Linked DNA regions of Drosophila melanogaster. The protein of the gene in region 1 interacts with the protein of each later gene in a pairwise test. Each region holds a gene or a part of one and is shown in the gene's direction. Other genes may lie near its edges.

The links.
Region 2: the proteins of CG5011 (region 1) and fat-spondin interact in a two-hybrid assay, tested with the Drosophila melanogaster proteins (one large-scale study listed by BioGRID).
Region 3: the proteins of CG5011 (region 1) and CG6933 interact in a two-hybrid assay, tested with the Drosophila melanogaster proteins (one large-scale study listed by BioGRID).

Annotation. Positions count from the first base shown.
Region 1 is NT_033779.5:1,197,427-1,202,665, forward strand, and holds CG5011 (uncharacterized protein), read left to right. Parts: upstream 1-3,244; 5' UTR 3,245-3,433; coding exon 3,434-3,676; 3' UTR 3,677-3,794; downstream 3,795-5,239. Other genes in the region: CG5139 (uncharacterized protein), read right to left, coding at 1,173-1,712; CG43348 (uncharacterized protein), read left to right, coding at 2,024-2,152; CG43349 (uncharacterized protein), read left to right, coding at 2,814-3,026.
Region 2 is NT_033778.4:17,050,866-17,059,858, forward strand, and holds fat-spondin (fat-spondin), read left to right. Parts: upstream 1-3,136; 5' UTR 3,137-3,233; coding exon 3,234-3,420; intron 3,421-3,680; exon of another isoform or gene 3,681-3,795; coding exon of another isoform or gene 3,796-4,311; intron 4,312-4,369; coding exon of another isoform or gene 4,370-5,433; intron 5,434-5,497; coding exon of another isoform or gene 5,498-5,867; exon of another isoform or gene 5,868-5,970; intron 5,971-6,068; coding exon 6,069-6,463; intron 6,464-6,523; coding exon 6,524-6,985; intron 6,986-7,047; coding exon 7,048-7,273; intron 7,274-7,326; coding exon 7,327-8,348; 3' UTR 8,349-8,434; downstream 8,435-8,993. Other genes in the region: CG9646 (uncharacterized protein), read left to right, coding at 1-299, 957-2,279, 2,404-2,553, 2,620-2,660; tef (teflon), read right to left, coding at 3,796-4,311, 4,370-5,433, 5,498-5,867.
Region 3 is NT_037436.4:20,217,943-20,223,564, reverse strand, and holds CG6933 (uncharacterized protein), read left to right. Parts: upstream 1-3,144; 5' UTR 3,145-3,213; coding exon of another isoform or gene 3,214-3,220; intron 3,221-3,329; 5' UTR 3,330-3,461; coding exon 3,462-3,504; intron 3,505-3,901; coding exon 3,902-4,950; 3' UTR 4,951-5,063; downstream 5,064-5,622. Other genes in the region: CG17145 (uncharacterized protein), read right to left, coding at 648-1,645, 1,707-1,713.

The DNA of each region.
Region 1 (5,239 bases):
AAAGATTCGAAAGCTTGCTCAGATTTCAAACACATGCCAGCGAGGAGGAGCAGCCGCACGAGGGCGAAAGGAGCAGGATGGGCCAGGATGTGCAATGGATACGGGACGCAGCGCCGAGTGTTCGATCTGCACGTGCCAGGACCACTCCAAGGACCTCTGCCGCTGACTCTGTAACAATTCGTTGCGATTTTCCACTTATTTGCTGGAAAACCAGAAAAGGACGAGCATACACTGAGCGAAAAGTCGGTGTGAAAAATGCATATAAATGCACTAAGTTAATCTTGAAGAAACTGTTTTTGAATATTGGCAGAGATCAAACAAATAACTTTCATAGCCAAGTAAATTCTGTTAAATATTAAAAAAAAGAAATACTTAGATTCTTCTTGAGTGTGCGCATAGCCAGAATTCTATGAAAAACCCCAAAGTCGTAGGCCGAATTGTGGCTGCGGATGAGGCAGCAAGAAGTTGGCTCTGCCATTAGCATTGGTGGGCACGACGACGACGAGGAGGAGGTGGAGGAGAAGGACGAGGAGCAGGCCGAGTCAAAATCACAGAAAATCATCGACAACTGGCAAATGTGTGAATTGAATTTTCAAACAATTTCGCCCGTGCAGGGAGTGCAGTGCTCGTCATCGGATTGCTATCCTGGTTTCGGTTTCTGCTCCTGGCGCTTTTCCCCTGCGCGGCGCATTTCCCCGGCTTTCCCGCTGGCCACGATGGAAACGTGCATGATTTGAGATTTGATTTGGGCGGCGGCCACATTACAGTCGCTAAACCTCGGCTTCCGTCCCGTCGTCCTGGCATCCTGCGCTTCAAAAGGCGCGTTTTAAACATTTCGCTCACGTCTCGGATGTTTATGCCATTAGCGTTTAAGTTGCCCATACAAAGTGCGACTCGTAGGTAAGCAAACGTTCCTTTGTTTTGGCTTCCTTGCCTGTTTTTATTGTCGAGAGACAGAGGTAATCGATGCTCAGGCTAGTTATTGAAAAAATTATCGAGGAAAACCCGAGGTACAACTCAAATAAATTCAATGAAATTGTTACTAGCCAGCAAATAGCTGTTGCTGTTCATTTGGACAAGTACAATTTATTTATTATCACATAAAATGCTTGCTACAAACTTTGAAGCTTTGTGAAAGCCCAAAAATATGCTATATACAATCACGAACAAATTTATCTGCACTCTATGCAACACGCTGAGCAGCAGCAGTGGTAACATTCCATGTCTGGATACAGATCCTGTTCCTCAACCTGTTCCTGATCCTGTTCCTGCTCCTGGTCGTACATCCTCTTCCGCCTGGCTGACCGATACAGTCGCCGGATGAGAGCTCCATATGGTTTCCGCGCCATCAGGTGAGTGGTTGTCTTGTGTATTTCGTAGACGCAATTCGTTTCGAGACACACAAAAGGCTCCTCCACCTGCAGGATAGTTTCCGATCTGAGATTGGGTACTGGCATTGGTAGCAGACTCCTCTGTTTCAAGATATTGATCTTGCTCTTCTTGACCACCCTCCTTTTCTTGGCAGGATTGGGTGCTGTAATGGCACCTTGGATCTCCGCCTCGAAGGATTCCTGGCGCCTGGAGGCCTTGCTCTTCAAGGCCGAAACCGTTTTGTATCGGTTCTGGATATCGGTAATGTTTCTCAAGGTCTGCTTAAAAGCAACCTCGACTTGCTCGACTTCCTGCAGCGTATTCCACAGATTCTTTTCCATAATTTGTTCACGAGAAAATTTTATACAATAAAAAATTTGAATACAAGAATGCACACTCCTCCCACTTCAAAAGATCATACGAATATACAAATCCTGTTCGATTGAAAAATCAGGGAAGCTAGATGTGTGATTTTCTCGTTGCGTTGTCATAGGGAAATTCCGATATGACCACCAAGTACTCACCTTATCGCAAAACAGGCTGATAAAATGTTTTAATGGGAAAACCAATGCCTCCAGCAGTCTTTCGTCACTATATATAGCGTGGAAATCGGGGTAATACTTTAGTTCAGAACGGAAATCGCTTTGGAAACATGCCACCACCACCGCACCAGCCCCACCAACCGCACCCACCGAAGGGTCCTGCGCATCCTGGGGATCACCAACCAGGACCGCATCCCCCTCACCACGGAGATCCGAAGCCCCATCACGGACATCACTAGGCCCATGGACAAGGACTATAAATAAGATTCAATTTTATACAGAACAAAACAAGATGGATACTTTTTAGGGAACTTAGTTTCTAATAGAAAGTCTTAAAAACTCTTCAAACCAAAGAAATAAAAGCCTGTACAAAATACATAGCTCTACTCTTTTCTATATCTTCAATGTTTATGATCTTGAATTGGTGATACTGCTTAATGCATTCTAAGCTTCCATTAATTTGAACAAAGCATACATATGATTTGAAGATCTAAATGCTTTTTAAATTATAATACACGTCCTAAGTGCAACGTACTAAGCTTAAGAATTTGTTGCTGATTGTTGCTGATTGTTGCTTACAAAAATAAAATATTATAACATCTCCATATTGTTGTACTTATGAACTACATGCAAAGTCGTCATTAACTTATTCTTTAAGTCACATATAGACATATCAGTAAACAATTCGCTTGTTTGTTATTACTAATTTCGAATGTCATACATTTGTTTTTATTGAGCGAAGTGTTGTTGTGGGAAAACCCGAAACTTACTTATCAACCGAACTGGGCTCGTCTTATCTGAAATTTAGATAAGATTACAACGTATTCGAATCATTTTCCTATAAATGGTTTGACAGGATAGGCTTTAGCTTAGTACTCAACTAAAGTCAGAAAAGTCAAGATGCCACCTCCACCGCACCACGACCACCACCATCATCATGGGCCACCACACCATGGACCTCCCCACCATGGGCCACCGCACCATGGTCCTCCACACCACGGGCCACCGCATCACGGGCCACCACACCACGGACCGCCGCACCATGGACCTCCGCACCACGACCACCATCATCATGGACCACCACACCACGGTCCTCCAATGCATCCTCGATGAGAACTATAATACAATATAAGCCGAATTTAACGTTATAAACTGATATGGAAAAACTTAATCGTTAACTGTGATTAAGCCACAAACTAACATTAAAATATCTTCACTAACTTCTAGTTAGTTTCACCAAGAGCAAAATGTTTTTATTTTAGAAATTGTTTAATTTTATAACACCATTATAAAGATACTGATTCTAATAAGCAATTAGAAGAATATTGAAGCAAGAATTGATTAAGTATGATTAAGTATCAAAAAGCCAGCAGATAAGGTAGACAATTATATATAAAAGAAAGTCCCTCTCCACTAGAATGCAGATAAGATTACAGCCTACTGAAACTATGTTACTTTTGTATAAAAGGTCTGGCAGGAGTGAGCCAGTTTAGTGTACAACAGAAGCCCGCCAAGCAAAGATGCCTCCTCCACCACCGCACCACCACCACAACCCGCCGCCTCATGGGCCACCGCCCCACGGACCACCGCACCATGGACCTCCGCACCATGAACCACAGCCCCCGTTCCACACGCCAGTGCATCCGATTTACCACGAACCTCCTCACGGAAACAGCTCCGGCTACAATCCTCCGCCGCCGCATGGTCCGTATCCATATGGTCCAGGATACGTGGCCCCAGGACCTCCAATGCATCCGCGATAAGAACTGAACTGTAATCTAGATCGGTTAATATAGTGTGATATCAACAAATGTACATTTGTGTGTGATTAAAAAATATGCTGCTTTTAAATATATAAACTAACTTTAGTTAGTCACGCCTATGTGTGATTCAAGTTTTATTACTTGTAGCTTCTATGCCAACAAACAATCCCATTTCGAGTATGATGATATATGCGCCTAATAAGATAAGGACGGTTTTTTGGAATTCCCATAGGACCGTCATAAAGATAATCCATTGAAAAAGTCGTCATTCTTTAGGTGCGTTATGATAGCTTATTTTCGGGTACTATCAAATTCTTGAGGTAACACGTCATTACTAATATTTCACTAGGAAAACAATCAATCAATCAGTCAATCAATCACTGGATTCTTTATTAATACGTGGGCTTATCGTATTAGTCGAATGTCATGAATTCTTAACTGAGCATATCTTTGATTTATTGGCTCTTTTCCATTCCATTTGTTCAAGAATAATATTTTTGTTTTTATTTTGAACGCTGAACTATTAGTAATCATGCATATAAACCTGTTGTAAACCTTATCAATGAGTTACTTCAACTCAACGCTAGATAAAGCTGTGCAATCTTATCGATAGGAAATACGCATTTGCTTACATTAGTCAGAACCTAACTTAGATTGTTGAGGTGATTTTTGGGGTACGCCACTGTTGATTTTTAGGGAAAGTACAAAGGGATGATATAATATATAACTTTAAAGACTTATTTAGAATATAACAGTATTTTAACAGTGCTACTTAATAATGGGAGCACATAGACAAAATTTGTTTTTAAAAAGAATATATTACTCATCCGCCACGTTGGCTGATATGGTTATGACCTTCTGGCTGGATAACTAGTGTAATACATGCGATTTTCGCAATAGACCCACCCCGTTTGTGACCGCAATCACTCAGGCGTTTAATAATTGACTGCATCTGCGGTCGAATCCCAATCGAATCGGGGTGGGTGGGTTGTTTAATGGAACAGACCCGGGTAAAAATCAAGCAAACGGCAAATAAAATTTATAACAAATCTAACACACATACATCATTTTGATATGGCCACGGACACGTTCCGTCCGTCTATTTGCTTAAGGATGGATGCTTCTTCGGGTGGCAGCACATGGACATGGACGCGGTCCGGACTGCGGAGCATCCACAGCTGAAGCAAGAGCTGTAGTTGGAGCTAAAGCTGAAGCTAGTGCTGGAGCTGGAGCTGGAGCTGGGGGCAACTTCAGCCGGGGCAGACACATTAATTTTGCTGCTCGCTTTCCTAACCGCATGCAATTTTTCTTGGCTCGCTCTCCGTCGGCTATCGGCTTTCAATGGCAGGAAGCGCACCCCGGAGGAAAGTGGGCTGCGGATCCTGGATGGGATGTGCATAGCCCACATCCTTCAGCCAGTCAGTTAGTCAGTCAGCCAGATAAGTGCGGTTTATGTGCAGCACGTAGACTGACTCAATACACTCGATAAATTGCGGCGGCGTTCGGCTGCTTAGAAGCGGGCAACTTGACCGCCACCAAAAGGGGGGCACAGTGGAGGAGCGA
Region 2 (8,993 bases), on another chromosome or scaffold:
ATCCGGTGTGGAGACACCCACCAGCGAGCCGGGATTCTGCGCCACTGACATGTGGGACGAGTGGGAGGAAGAGAACGACGACTATTGCACCTATCGACATCAGAGACGCCTTAGCGATCCTAGTGCCAATCTCAATAACTTCTCACGGTACGGGTGGCGCACGAAGAACTCGAATAACCAGGATATGGTGGGCAGTGGCACCAGCCCCAGTGTGGGAGCCAAGGCGCGATCGGAGAACGAGGGACTGGACTCGCTGGCTAGCGAGGTGTCCGAAATCGAGGCTGGAGATTTGCGCGACGGTCAGTCTGAACATGTACTTCTTTATCCTTGTTTCCTATTCATTTGAGCATCCTTAAGTTGCATGATATTTAGAATTGTATTACTGCTTACAGTTGTTGCCGTAGTTAAATTAAAGCTGCTTTTCCGCTTGCTCCTTTCATTTTCCGTTCATATTCCTGATTTACTTCTCGTAATGTGTTGTCGTTCCATTGATTTTCCTTTTAAAACTTCCAACTATCGAATTTATATATATACTTTAAGTGTGCCCCTAAGAACGACTCCAGAGTATATATATAAAGAGAACACCAGACATTGCCGAGAAAGCAGGACAAATAATACACTAAGGACAACCAAAATTATATTTCGTTTGGCTTATTGTTTGACACTGGATTTCGCTTTAAACGGGAATCGTTCACCACATTCCGTAGTCCCGTCCCTATTCCCAATTCCCTTTAGAAATTGTTTGGTGGCTTGACTGTATATTCATTAGACATCCATTCATCCACCTATTATCGATCGATCGCCTAGTTTATATTTGTGTTTCCCTATTCTGGTTTATTATTTCCACTGCTTTCTGTTGCCAATTATCGATTAAGTTGCTTGGGCCGATCATCGGTTGTACATGTGTGTCGATGTATATGCTTTTAAAACGCAAAAACCGATCTATCTACTTGTAGATCAGCAACGTCCTGCTTTCTCGGCCTCAGCGGCAAAACTGCACCCAAATCCGAACTGCGAGACACATAAACTCGCGACTGGTGACCAAGAAAAGTTGACCCAAGAATCTCCTAGAGAGAGTACTTCCTCTGCTCCAGCGGAAGTCGCTGTTCCTGCTGTTACTCCGCCTCCATTGAGTGCCGCCGTGGAGGTCACAGTTTCCGGGGACGTCAGCGTTACTGGACATAGCTCAACTACGGGCTGCAATTGCTTTGGTGGCAAAAAGTGTAAGAAGCGCTGGGCGTCTGCCAAGAACACGGACACCCCGGAAATGTCCGAGGTGTACTGCCCCAGTTGCGAGGATCCGTCCAACGAGTCGCCCGCCTGTCTGGCCAAGATGCCCGACAAGCGGCCCACCCGTCTCAAGCCAAAAAGCAGCATCCTGAGTGTGGAGAGTGAGCTGCTCGTGGGCAAAAGAAGCAGTTTCCGACTGCCATCAGAGATCAAACGCAAGCAACAGGGTGGCAGCATTACGAGGAGTGCCTCCCTGAGTGCTGCTGATCGCAGGACCAGCCTCCCAGTGGCCACCAAGAGGATCATACCTCCAAGACTGCGCACGGCCAAAGCCAAGGATCTCGAGAAGGACAAGGAGAAAGAAAAGGACAAAAACAAGGAGAACGACAAGAAGTCTTCAAATCAGAAGGTCAACGGCTCAGCTACCAACTTTCTGGCCAAGATGTCGCCCAAGCGGCTAAAAGCAGGCAAAGAGAAGGACAAGGACAAAGATGGAAACAAGGAGAAGGAAAAGGACAAGTTCAAGGCAATGGATGCAGCTAAGAAAAAAGCTGTTAATAATAACAATCCAAAGCCTGACATTTCCAAATCGGAGGAGTACGAGATCGCCGATGATGCTACCTCCCTGAATGGTAGTGAATCGGAACCAGTTGGAGCCGCCAAGATGGTTATCCTAAGTGAGAGCGACAGCAAGCTAATGATTAGTGTGCGTGGACGAGAAGAGCTGCCGGTCGTGGATTCGCCCAAGACTCCGCCAAAACGATTCGAAAAGTGTGTCAGCTTGCCTGTGGAGCCGGAGAGTCATCTGCTGCAGCCGGACGAGAACAATGAGAACGAGCAGAGCGATATTACAAACGTGATATCGCCCACGGAACTTACACCCATGCTGGATGTGGCCAATGGCAACGGGGAGGCCAATAGTGCTACTCTTCCGAGAACAGCCAAGCAAGCTCATGTCAGCAAGATGCTGCATTTGGTTCCCAAGCGCAGAACACCCGATGGCACTAACATCTACTATTGGTGCGATGTGCCCAAAAAGGCAATAAAAGGTTATTTCCTAGGCTTTTTACTTCAACTATATTTAATTTTTTTGTACTTCGATTTTCGTGTACTTACATTTCAATAATTCCGACTAACATAAACTAATTCCGTGAGCCTCTTATCTACTTTTAGAGCTCGACGATGGCGCTTATAATCCCCTATGGACCAGTCGAGGCTTTACGCAATCTTTTCATTTCTGGAAGGAGAATAGAAGACAGCAGTCAACGCCGCTAAATGCATTCCTCACATATGTGACACTGCCCTGGTGGAGCATTGCAAAAGGTGAGCTACTTGAAGACCTACCTCAAAAATATTCGCCATTCTGATGTAAAATACTTTTTTTTTCAGATCTCTTGGATCACCGGGAAACGCCTATTCTGACCTTTTAGTATTAACTTTATCTGGCAATTGTGATTTATATGCTTTATAGTTCTCACATGTATTCCCTATTTATCGATCGAATGTGTGACCAGTCTGTGTGATCAGTCCCAGTTTGATTTATCAGTATATATGCTATGTTCTCGACCAATGTTGAGTTTCCTAAGGCGAATCCTCACGATTCACACTATTTCGGGAGCGGAAAGCAAACCTACAAATTTATGAACTACAAACTACGATAGTGAGCTCTGTTACCGATGATATGGAAATATATAATTGTAATATTATTTGTAAATTGTACGGCAAAATTTATACCATGAAATATATACGGAATAGAAAAGACACGAGAGTAAAGAGGAATTATTGGAGGAGCCAATGGATGAAAGTCAAGACCATCTCGCGAGTAATGCTTGTAATCAGAGTTCCCGAAGCATCCGGCATCGGGTCGGTCGCTCGACTTGAAGATAGCTCTATCGCCTCTCCGGCTTGATTAGTCTGTTTTTGAGCCTCGCTGGAAACGGTCGTTGCTGCAGTTGAGCTTTGTAATCGAGTCAAGTGATAACGCGGGAAATAAAGCACTGGAGATGGGGCAATCGCTGCCGCTGCTCATCCGCCTCATCGTTGTGATCTGGCTGACAATTAGTATGGTCACCGCATGTCCCCGGGCGCCCACCCACTTGAACCACGGTCGACGCACACGCGGCGACAATGGATACAAATTAATTGTGGCCGATGGACCCAACGGCTATGTGCCCGGCAAGACGTATAATTGTAAGTCGGGAAGGTAGCTAGTTGGTTTTGTAATCATCGGGGTCATTCGAGAACTAAAAACAAAAGCCATCGAAATGATAAGAGAATCCAGAGCAGATGGTGATGTTGTCCATCTTGTCAGTCCAGTTGCTATTTTGATAACGCTTTCTGTGTTAATTTGTACCTAATCTTTTTGTAGTGATAAAGAAACTTTAAAGCATTTAGTTTATAAAACGTTTTGATTTATTAGAAAAATTTATTAAAATCAAAATATAACATTTATTGACAAATTGGTTAGCATTAGCTTTTCGGAATTCCTTTTTATTTAATAAATACATAACTTTATGTAGGGTTAGAAAAAATATATGTAACCATGACTAAATGACACATTGTGGCTTAAGAATGAGCGTTTCGCAAATGCTTTTCATAGTATCCCTTGTACTTGAATACTTTAATGCATTTTGTGCACTGAAACCGAACTTGGTGAGAAATCAAATGCTTTAAGTACTCTTTCTTTAAGATGAAAATATCGTCGCAACATTTGCAAAAGTAAGCAAAACTAACAGGTAAAAACGAGAATAGCTTTAAAGTATATCGGGCATTTTCCGAAATGGTATCCAAGTCAATATATTGGGTATATATATTGTAATGCCAAACTGAAATCTGATTAATAATGCCTTTTATATCGCTGTTCGCCAGGTTGCATAACATTGTCTTGTTAACTTCTCTGGTTAAAGCAAATATCTGTTGAGAAATAAAGTCCGGTTTCGCTGGCGGACAAATTTTTCTATAATTCCAAATAGAATCGTACTTCCTGTAGATTTTGATGAATTGATCTGCCTTTTTTCGGATCGTTTCTAACTCGTCTGGCAATAATGTATCCTCGATCGGGTTATCTGTGATTGCCGGCAACTAAAATGGATTAAGATATGAGATGTGAAATGTGCAATGATTCGTATCAAGTGCTTACTCCAACCGCTTTTAATATTTCGCAACTGCTTATTGTTGCCAATTTGTTTAAACGCGTATTTGTATTGGCGCAGGGATCTTCCGATTTTAGGTCGACGCAATTTTCCATCTTTAACTTGCGGATCTTTGTGCTGTTAAACTCAGAAGCAAAACAATTAGTTTTGTCATTAGATCGTATTTGGATTTTGTTTGTACTAGCTTTGGCACTGGTGGTCTGCACCCGTTTTACAATAATGGGGTTTGCCTTGGACTTTATTATTTTAAAAAATTTGTTGGGACTGCCTTGAGCTTTTATCCCTAATTCGCTACGCTTTTTAAAAAACTTTTTTGTGTTTTCTTTCGGCAGACTTTGGGCATTGTTTATATTATTCGTGCTATTCTCCACTTGGTCACTGACACCCTCTTCATTGATTGGTGTTATTAAAGTTTTAGGTAACTTAACTGGTTGTAAAATATCTATTTGTGTTATTTTTACGGGAAATGTTTTCGTGGTTTTTGTCACTTGACTAGCTGCTAGGTGATAGGTTTCATTTATCTCACTTATCTCGGCATTAGTATGAGCTTGTTGACTAGTTAATATGGGCTTTGGTACACAGTTCAGTAGCTTAGGCATGGTAGGCGCCGTTTTCTTCTCGGCATATTTGGTACATATTTGGTTTGCCTCTGTTAAAGAAGACTTTCTTACACTTAATTGAGATGAGCTCGGTATGGGCTTTGTAGGAGTGTCAAAACATGTTCCAGGTATGTTGTCTTCTTGGATGGGCTCAGTTATAGAAAGTTTGGAGTTGGGCTCTGGAGGTTTAATTTCAAGCTTTGCAGACAAATCGCTGTCAAGGACTCGCAGGATGCGGTTCTTTACCATGCTCATTCGCTTTCGCGAAGTCCTTGCAATAGTGTGACTCTTCAGATCGCATATCTTCAAAGAACTGCTCTCGTTATTAGCCTTTTTGCGTGGTCTGTTGAATACGCCATTTTCGGGTTTTAATTCCTTGTCGTTGGTTTGCAATAAAATGTTTGTCACTTCCGCTAGCAGGTTTATTTCACTCTGTTTCCCTATTTGTTCAGCTGTGGGATAATAATGATAATATTAATAATAATACTTTATAACGATATGCCATCACATTCTTACGTTTCATTGGGCTATTGTCTGAGTTATCTTCTGAGCCTTCGATGGCCCTAGAATCCTCTGAATTCATCAGTGAACTAGAGTCACCGCTGCTGCTGTTGTGCCCCGCCGACTGGGCGTCCTCGTGGGCTTTACCCTGCTCACCGGACAACAGCTCCTCCACGCTGTAAACGTTGTGCTCCTTGGTGAAGTGCAGCACATCCGAATGGTTGCTTTGGAGGTGTCTTAAGAACTCCGGCAGTTGTGTGAAGAGGTCACGGCAGAAGTGGCAGTAAAGTGCAATCATACAGTCGTTGGTTGAGACCACCACATCGCCGCACTTTTCCAGGCTGACGCACTGGCTCCCCGATAGCATGTCCAGAAACTTAGACATTATAAAAATCACAGGACTAAAGACTTAATAATATTAACAAATTACAATCGCGCGTCGTCTTAAAAAGAGGGCTGAAAGAGCGAGACAACTATAGGTACATAAATTTGTCGATAACAGTGCTAGTGCCAGTGATGGCATCGATTCCCTTTAATCGATACGTAGTTTTTTTAATCGAATTTTGAATTTAAAAAAATTTGGTAGTACTTCTACTTGGATCCCGGACTCACTTGAAAGTTCAGCATTTCACCCACTTTACCATTACTGCGGAGGCACACACTGGCGCCCGTCGTCCACAGGCAGCTAGTCCCCGGCGAGTGGGCCGCTTCCAGCTGTTTAGTGACTCCCTGACCCAGTTCAACGACAGATGCGTGAACACGGTTTCCGAGGCGGACGACCTGCCCAAAACAGAAGTCCAGGTAATGTGGGTGGCTCCGGAGTCGGGTTCTGGCTGTGTCTCTTTGTCAGCAATGGTCTACGAGGGTCCGAGAGCCTGGTTCGCCGACGATGGCAACCTATCCACTGTGATTTGCGAACGAAAGCCTGATGCAGCTGCTGCTCAAAAGGAATGCTGCGCCTGCGATGAAGCCAAATACAGCGTAAGTCAGAGAAGACCGCGTATTTTTCCGAGCTCCACCTTACTGTCATTCCAATTTCAGTTCGTTTTCGAGGGAATCTGGTCAAACGAAACCCATCCCAAGGATTATCCGTTCGCCATCTGGTTAACACACTTCTCTGACGTGATTGGTGCTTCGCACGAGTCCAACTTCTCCTTCTGGGGCGAGAACCACATAGCCACCGCCGGATTCCGCTCTCTGGCGGAGTGGGGTTCTCCGGCTGCTCTAGAAACGGAGCTGCGCGCGAACGGGCCCAAGTTGCGCACCCTGATTAAGGCCGCTGGGTTGTGGTACCCGAATGTCAACCAGAACACCTCATCCAAGTTCCGGGTGGATCGCAAGCACCCTAAGGTATCGCTGGTGTCCATGTTTGGTCCTTCTCCCGATTGGGTGGTGGGCATTAGTGGTCTGGATCTCTGCACTGAGGATTGCAGCTGGAAGGAGTCAATGGACTTTGATTTGTTTCCATGGGATGCGGGCACTGATAGCGGCATCTCTTATATGGTAATATATATTCAACTGATATTTCATGGTAACCTAAATATTAAATGGACCTTCCTTGGTAGTCACCCAACTCGGAGACACAACCTCCGGAAAGGATGTATCGCATCACTACAATGTATCCTGAGGATCCTAGGGCTCCCTTTTATAATCCCAAGAGCCGTGAGATGACACCACTTGCCAAGCTATACCTAAGACGTGAGAAGATTGTCTCCCGGAACTGCGACGATGAGTTCCTGCAGGCTCTTCAGTTGGAGGTGTCCGACGATGCTGAGGAGCAGGACACCAGAGGTGGGTTTGGTCAACTTGAAACTAACATGCCCATCTAATCAATCGTTTTGCAGCCGAATGTCGAGTGGGCGACTACTCCGCCTGGAGTCCGTGTTCCGTGAGCTGCGGCAAGGGAATCCGCATGCGCAGCAGGCAATATCTGTATCCCGCGGCGGCGGATCAGAACAAATGCGCTCGCCAACTGGTGGCCAAGGAAATGTGCGTGGCTGCCATACCCGAATGTGCCGATGGCCCAGCCCAGTCCAAGGATCGTGACGATGATGAGGGCGAGAACCTGGCCAACTCGCAGTCCCTGGTGGGCAGCAATGGCGAGGGAGCCGGTCTCTGCAAAACTTCTCCCTGGAGCGTGTGGTCCGAGTGTTCGGCCAGCTGTGGCATTGGCATTACCATGCGCACGCGCACCTTTGTCAATCATTTGGGACGCAAGCGATGTCCCCATATCACCATAGTGGAAAAGAACAAGTGCATGCGGCCGGACTGTACATACGAGCAGGTGGAGCTTCCTGATCCGCAATGTCCCACCAGCCAGTGGAGCGACTGGAGTCCGTGCTCCTCGACCTGCGGCCGGGGAGTTACCATTCGGACTCGGCTGCTTCTGTTGGAGAATGGACCCGATAAGGAGAGCTGTACGCAACGCATGGAGCTGCATCAGCAAAAGGAGTGCGTCAATCCCATTGACTGCCACATTAACGCGGAGCAGGCCAAGGACATCTGTGTACAGGCACCGGACCCAGGTCCCTGTCGTGGCACCTATATGCGGTATGCCTACGATCCGCAGAACCAGCATTGCTACTCCTTTACCTACGGAGGATGCCGTGGCAACCGAAACAACTTCCTCACGGAGAACGACTGCCTGAATACGTGCAATGTGCTTAGGTCGCCGTATTCCTCAAGAGTGGATCAGCCCAGGGCCTGCGTCCTGTCAGATTGGTCCGTCTGGTCGCCCTGCAGCGTTAGCTGTGGTGTCGGAGTCTCTGAAAGCCGGCGCTACGTTGTCACCGAGCCCCAGAATGGTGGACAGCCGTGCTCCAAGCGCCTGGTCAAATCACGCTCTTGCGCCATGCCGGCTTGCTAAGGTGCTGTTACAATTGTTCATCACAATCCTTACTCCTTACTACAATCTTACTCCTCTTTCTTAATAAAGTTCGTTTGAGAAACTGTAATCATGTTTTTTTTTTTTTGAGACTGTATATTTATAATTATTCATATGTAAGTACTTAAACAAGAAATTACAACACATTGTGCTTACTTCAATAATTGATTAGGGATCTTTCGATGAATTTCCCCTTGATCACTTAAAGCTTTCTAGTCCGCTTCCCAAAGATCAACAAACACCTTGGGATGAGTAAGCTCCATTCTAGCCATTAGATAAGTGGTAATGTACTACTATCATCGTTAATCTATTGGTTATATACCTTAACAGAAGTCAATGTAATGACAACTTTTACAAGCTTGAAATCGGCTGCAATTGAAATATAATAATATAATGGAATTCCCCTTCATTATATTGTTAGCGTTATAAATATGGCACATGACCACCGCTTGATTTCATTACTAAACAGTCACTTTAGTCGCGTACATCGCGTCCAGTTTTTAAAATCGATTGTGTTTCCTAAATTCATGGAAATGGGATCGCGGGATTTACAAGAATGTAAAATTTCAATAAAATCAATTTGTGCTTTCTGTTTTAGAAAAAAATTTAGCTGTCGAAAGCGAAATG
Region 3 (5,622 bases), on another chromosome or scaffold:
TATTGTGCCGTAAATATGACAACCTTTTAAAATATACTGCCTTGCTATTTCACTGTCGCTTTCGATAGGTTTTTGTTTGGAAAATCAGAACTTTTGAAAACATTGATTGTAACCAACGAATAGGACAGTGATTATCATTTATGGTCTCCTCGGTGAGGCCATGCTATTCCATCGTTACCACCTGCAAGAAAAGTTTCCATGATTGAGTGAATTCTTAAAATTCTATTTGTTCATTTACCTAGTTTTCAGCTGAATTGTTCCAGGAATATTAAACAAAATACAGGTGTTCTTCACTCACCCATCAGATATTATTTATTCGAATTTCGAACTAGAACTTGTTTAAGATTATTGTTCTTTTTGGTAGCTAATCTTAAGCATTAGAGCAACGAAAACAATCTACGTTCTTATAAAAACGGGTAAAAAAACAATATATCTCAACTACGATCCTCGAGTTACAGCAAAGATACTGGCTTACAGCAGAAACTTGTCATTGTGCATAAACACGAACTCGCTAGAGAGCCGCGTATCTATATCTATGACAATCCAGGTTCCACAGTCCCCGAAAGAATCCAAACTAGTGCACTTCATTACAACACTTCCTTAACCAAATATCACATTGCATTCTGAGCTTTATTGGAAATACATGCCTACGTCTTGCACGCGGTGTAGGTCTGGACACTTGGAGTGCAGGCGCCCTGCTGGTCGTCGAAGAAGTAGTTGCCGCAGGACCTCTCGCTCACGGTTACCCCGTCGGAGCAGCTCAGATAGTTGCGACAGCCCTTGGTGGCACTAACGACAAAACTAGCAGTCCGACCGTCGCAACGATCGTGGGAGCAATAGACCGAACTGGGGGTTATGCACATCTGGCTGCTCGCATCGAAGAATCTGTCCTGGGGACACTGGTTCCACACCGGATTGGGGTCCGGGGTGCCATCCTTCTGCTTGGCGCAGTAGAAGTAGCCGCGACAGGTGGCTTCATCCGCGACGAACTTGTTCTCGTAGGGCTTACTGGCCTTGCCGCAGACATCCGTGGGCAACGGATGGGCATCGCAGTCCACCAGAGCCTTGGACACACACTCGCCCGTGCTGGCCTGATAATAGGTTTTCGAGCATGTCTTGTCCTTCAGGACGCCCTTCTCACAGACGTGATACATATTGCAGCCCTGCAGATTGTCGAAGTTTACGCCGTTCTTAACAATGCTGCAGTACTCGAAGGTGCTGGTGGTGCAATCCGATTCGTGTTGGCGGGAGCACATCTGGGTGGTGGCATTGAAGTGCGTCTCCTGCGGACAGGTGCCGTACAAGGCCGTCTCCTCGTCCGCACAGTAATAGTAGCCGTAGCAGGACTTGGGGTCGGCCACGAATTGCTTGGCCCGATCCGCGCAGGATATCGAGCAGCTGGACGTGGAAGTGGACAGTGACTTAACGCATTTGCCCGTGTCCTTGTCGAAAAACGGAGTAGATCCCGTGCATGTACTGTAGTAGCTGACGGAATCGATGCACGTGATCGATTGACTGCAGGATTCGGGATCTCGGATCACCGTATTATTGGAGAACAAGCGGCAGATGTCCTCATTCCGGCCATTAACCACATCTAGGCCTTGAAGCAGTAGCACCAGTGCCACGCCCAGTATGGCACCAAATTCTGCAATTTGAAAAAACAATAAAGTTAGATTTACACCACTGGCAGTTTGCAATCCACTCACTTTCCATTACAGCTCAACTTTGGACAAAGCATAAACTCGTACTGAATCTGAACGTCGACCTGCGATTACTTATAAATATCAGAGGATAAGCAGCAATCACTATTTGCTGGCAAGATAAGCGGATTGGTTTTTGAGGGGTATTCAACTGGGTAAGATGGGTTAAATAAAGATGAATAGAAGTCATTTGTTAAAAGCTCGAAGATTACAATCAAATGTATTGATTTTGCTTAGGGATTTGCTATATAATATTTTTGAAAAGGTAAATGATAGAGCACAAAAAATGGGAATGTTTGATAAAATTGTATTTATAAATTTAATGTTTTTAAGGAGCATTCATAAAATTTTACTTCAGAAAAAATTAATTATATTTTTCGTTGCTAAAGTACTGGGTGATTTCTAGTCGTAGTGAATGGTGATTTTATAAACAAGTTGGAGATTGCCAATTGGCTACCGGTAAATTAAATAGGAAGTAGATAAGTTATCATTTCGGCCAAAAAATAGTAATAAAATGAAGAGCAAGATCAGCTGGTTTAATTCATAAGGCTTAGTGGGTTAATAGAGAGCTTCCCTTCTTTATTATAAAAAAAAAAACATTTTTAGTACTCTACCAATTAAATATAAAAAGTAAATAAGCACGTAGCTTGAACTATTTTTTAAGAATTTAAATTACTTCGAAAATGCCTTGTGATTTGGAAAAAGTATCGAGTAAAGTGTTTAAATGTCATTGCATACTTATGGGCGAATTTCTAAACGGACAAAACTCGCTTTTAGGCGAAACAATAAAATAAGGCGGATAGATTTAAAATAGTTTAACGGAAAATAAAACTGACTAAAAAAATGGGGTTTTTGTTATTAAACATTAACATCAATTATTTTTATAGATTATATAGATAGATAATAAAATTTCAAAATACTTGCATATAATTGTACTATTTAATTATGCATACAAATAAATAAATATATATAACTCATAATTTCATAATTTCATAGTGCGATTTATTTATTTTGTATTTCAGTTCAAACGGTTCTTTTGGACAAGTTATTAATATAAACATTTGTAGTTCGGTAATTTTTCCCCAGAACCTGATAACCTTCAGAGGAAAGTCTAGTCAAGTCAAGTCAAGAGTCGCAGTGCGATTCAAATTGAGATATCTAACTAATGTCGTGTTGCTGAAATGAGTGCCGAGATACCAGGGAAACACCACTGAGTGATCAATAAGAGCCGTGACACTTTCCCGCCTCCTCGAGCTTCTTCGAAATTAAAAAACAATTATAGACAAAGAGGGTTCGCAATCAGCAGCTGATAATCCAAATTCCGGCGCGGCTGTCAACGTATAAAAATATATATAAACTATATATACATACTAAACTAAGTATGTATGGTGTCCGCTGGCCAAGAATCGATTTGAGCTTATAAGCCAGTCCATTTTGGCCGGGTCCGCTAGTTTCACTTTCGTCGTCCAACGCCTTCGAACCGCCTTCAAGCTAACCCAACAACTTCGGAGGGATGCAAGGTGCGTGGTTTACCCCAGACCTTAGAATCTTATCTAGCATTAATTTCGATACTAACGCCCTACTGGCGGCTGGCTTATCTGGCTGACAATTTTTTAATTACCCACCCAGTTCGCGCCGCGAATTGTCAACTATAAAAACGCAAAGGCTGCAATTGATTGAGTTAGTAACGAAATCGGAACGTTCGCTTCGGTCGTCTGTCTATCAAGTGAATTTGTCCCCGAAAAATATTAGCATTCCAAGATGGGAGGTACGTTGGCTCGAAGAACGGATACAGTTATCTCAGGTGCACAGTATTCAAGACGTCTTGCTTCGACTAAATTTTGAAAAGTGGTTTCAAACATGGTTTTAAGGCCCTGAAATTCTCCTGCAAAGGAGATGACTTTCAAAAATGGCTAAAATGACTTTCAAATTTCGATTTGTTACTCAAATTGAGTTTTTCTTTCGTCCTTAATTGATTTTTTATCCAAAAAAAGGGCTGCCGTGTTGGCTACAACAAAGGCTTAACCAATTTTAGAGACGCTAACACGAATTTTGGATTGAAAGCTATCAATTTTGTCGTTTCTAGCATAATTTCTTTGCATTATTAAGTACAAACAAAATAGAAAACTATTCGACGATTACACATGTCTATATTTTATTTAATAATTCATAGTTCGTATCCCCCTGTATCCCCCATTTAGCAATCAATATGAGGATCTGTGTCGTGGCCGCATGTCTCCTAATGGCATCGCAGGCCACCGGCTACACGATGGATGATCTGTGCCAACAGTGGTCGGGCTATGGATACATCGGCAATCCGAGCAACTGCCATGCCTGGGGATACTGCAAGAACCAGGAGGTTGTGGCCTGGGGCACCTGTCCCAACGGCTTGGTGTTCAACGCGCAGGCCGGCAGCTGTGATTACGCTAATACCACGGTGTGCTCCACCAGTGCCGTTGAGACATGCTCCAACGTCAAATCTCCCATGTATGTGGCCAATCCGTTGAACTGCACCGAATACGCCTACTGCGATGGCACAGGCCAAATCTCCTATGGCGATTGCGGCACCGGCGGCGTCTATTCGGCATCCTCCACAAAATGTATATGGGGACCCGCCTGCCCGCAGGACACCATCTGTCGGTTCATGTTGTCCAACATCTTTGTAGGCGATCCGAACCAGTGCGGCAACTACATCAACTGCGTCAACGGCTATGGCACTTCCGAAAAATGTTCCAGCACCGCCAATCCCTACTATAATAAAGCCACTGGCAACTGCCAGTCGACGAATCCGTGCACCGGCGAAGATTCAAACAGTGGAAACTCTGACCAGTTCACTGTTGGGCAAACAAATGCAACTGCTTGTGACGAAGAAGCTTTTAAAGCAGCAGATCCACTTACTGTAAATGGGGAATCTGTTGACTATAGGTACGTTTCTGATGGTGTCACCTGCTATGGGTACTACTACTGTGCAGCAGTAAACGCCACTGGCTATTGGAACCAATGTCCCACCGGTACCCAATTCAATGCTGGCAAGTGCGTTTCGCCAGCCTCCTTTGTCTGTACCCATAACCGATGTGGGAACGTTAACAATCCATTCATGGCAGATGAGGGTTGCAAGAACTACACAATCTGCTCCAGCGGAATAACCGGATCATGTCCCACCAATGCGCCGTACTACGACGAGGTGAACAATATCTGCACCACCAAAATTCCCGATTACGCCATTTGTAATTCGACGGCTAGTACATGAGCATCTCCTCCAGCCACGTCTGTTTGCCGAGATACCTTTTATGAAATATATAAATAAATACCAATGCTGAAGGCATTCAAAAGAAACTAATAAAAATGTTGACTTCGACCAAGCGAAATTTGTTTTAAATGTTGTTGTTTTTGAAATTGTTGATTAGTTGTTCGCCTTTTTGGTAGCAAATCTTTCAAAAAGAGGCTCACAGAAAATGTGCCTCAAAATATAAATATAATTTCTGCGGGATGGGTATTTGTAAATGTTATCTGCCAAGCTAAGTTAATTAAATAATTAATTAAAAAAATTCAATGGCCTCCATCTATTGTATTAGAAGAAGGTGGAACAGTAAAACCCCATTGCTTGGGAAATTTCTGGAGAAGTTACTTGATTGACGTCAGCATTGAGATATTGTTTTGAATTCAGTACTTCAAAGCCTAGTATTGTAGTAGGCTGCTCCTTCTACCCTCTTCCTTTACTCTTAGTCATACATACCTAATTATACATAGCCAATCTAGTCATAAGCTTATACACTCATACACCCATCCTTAACATACAAATATTATCGAGAAACTTATCGACTAATCGACTCGCCACTCTGCAGAGAGCGCGGCAGTCAGTCGCTGTTGAACCAAGCTAAAGGACAGATCAAAAATAAAAGAGACACGTGAAATTGTATTA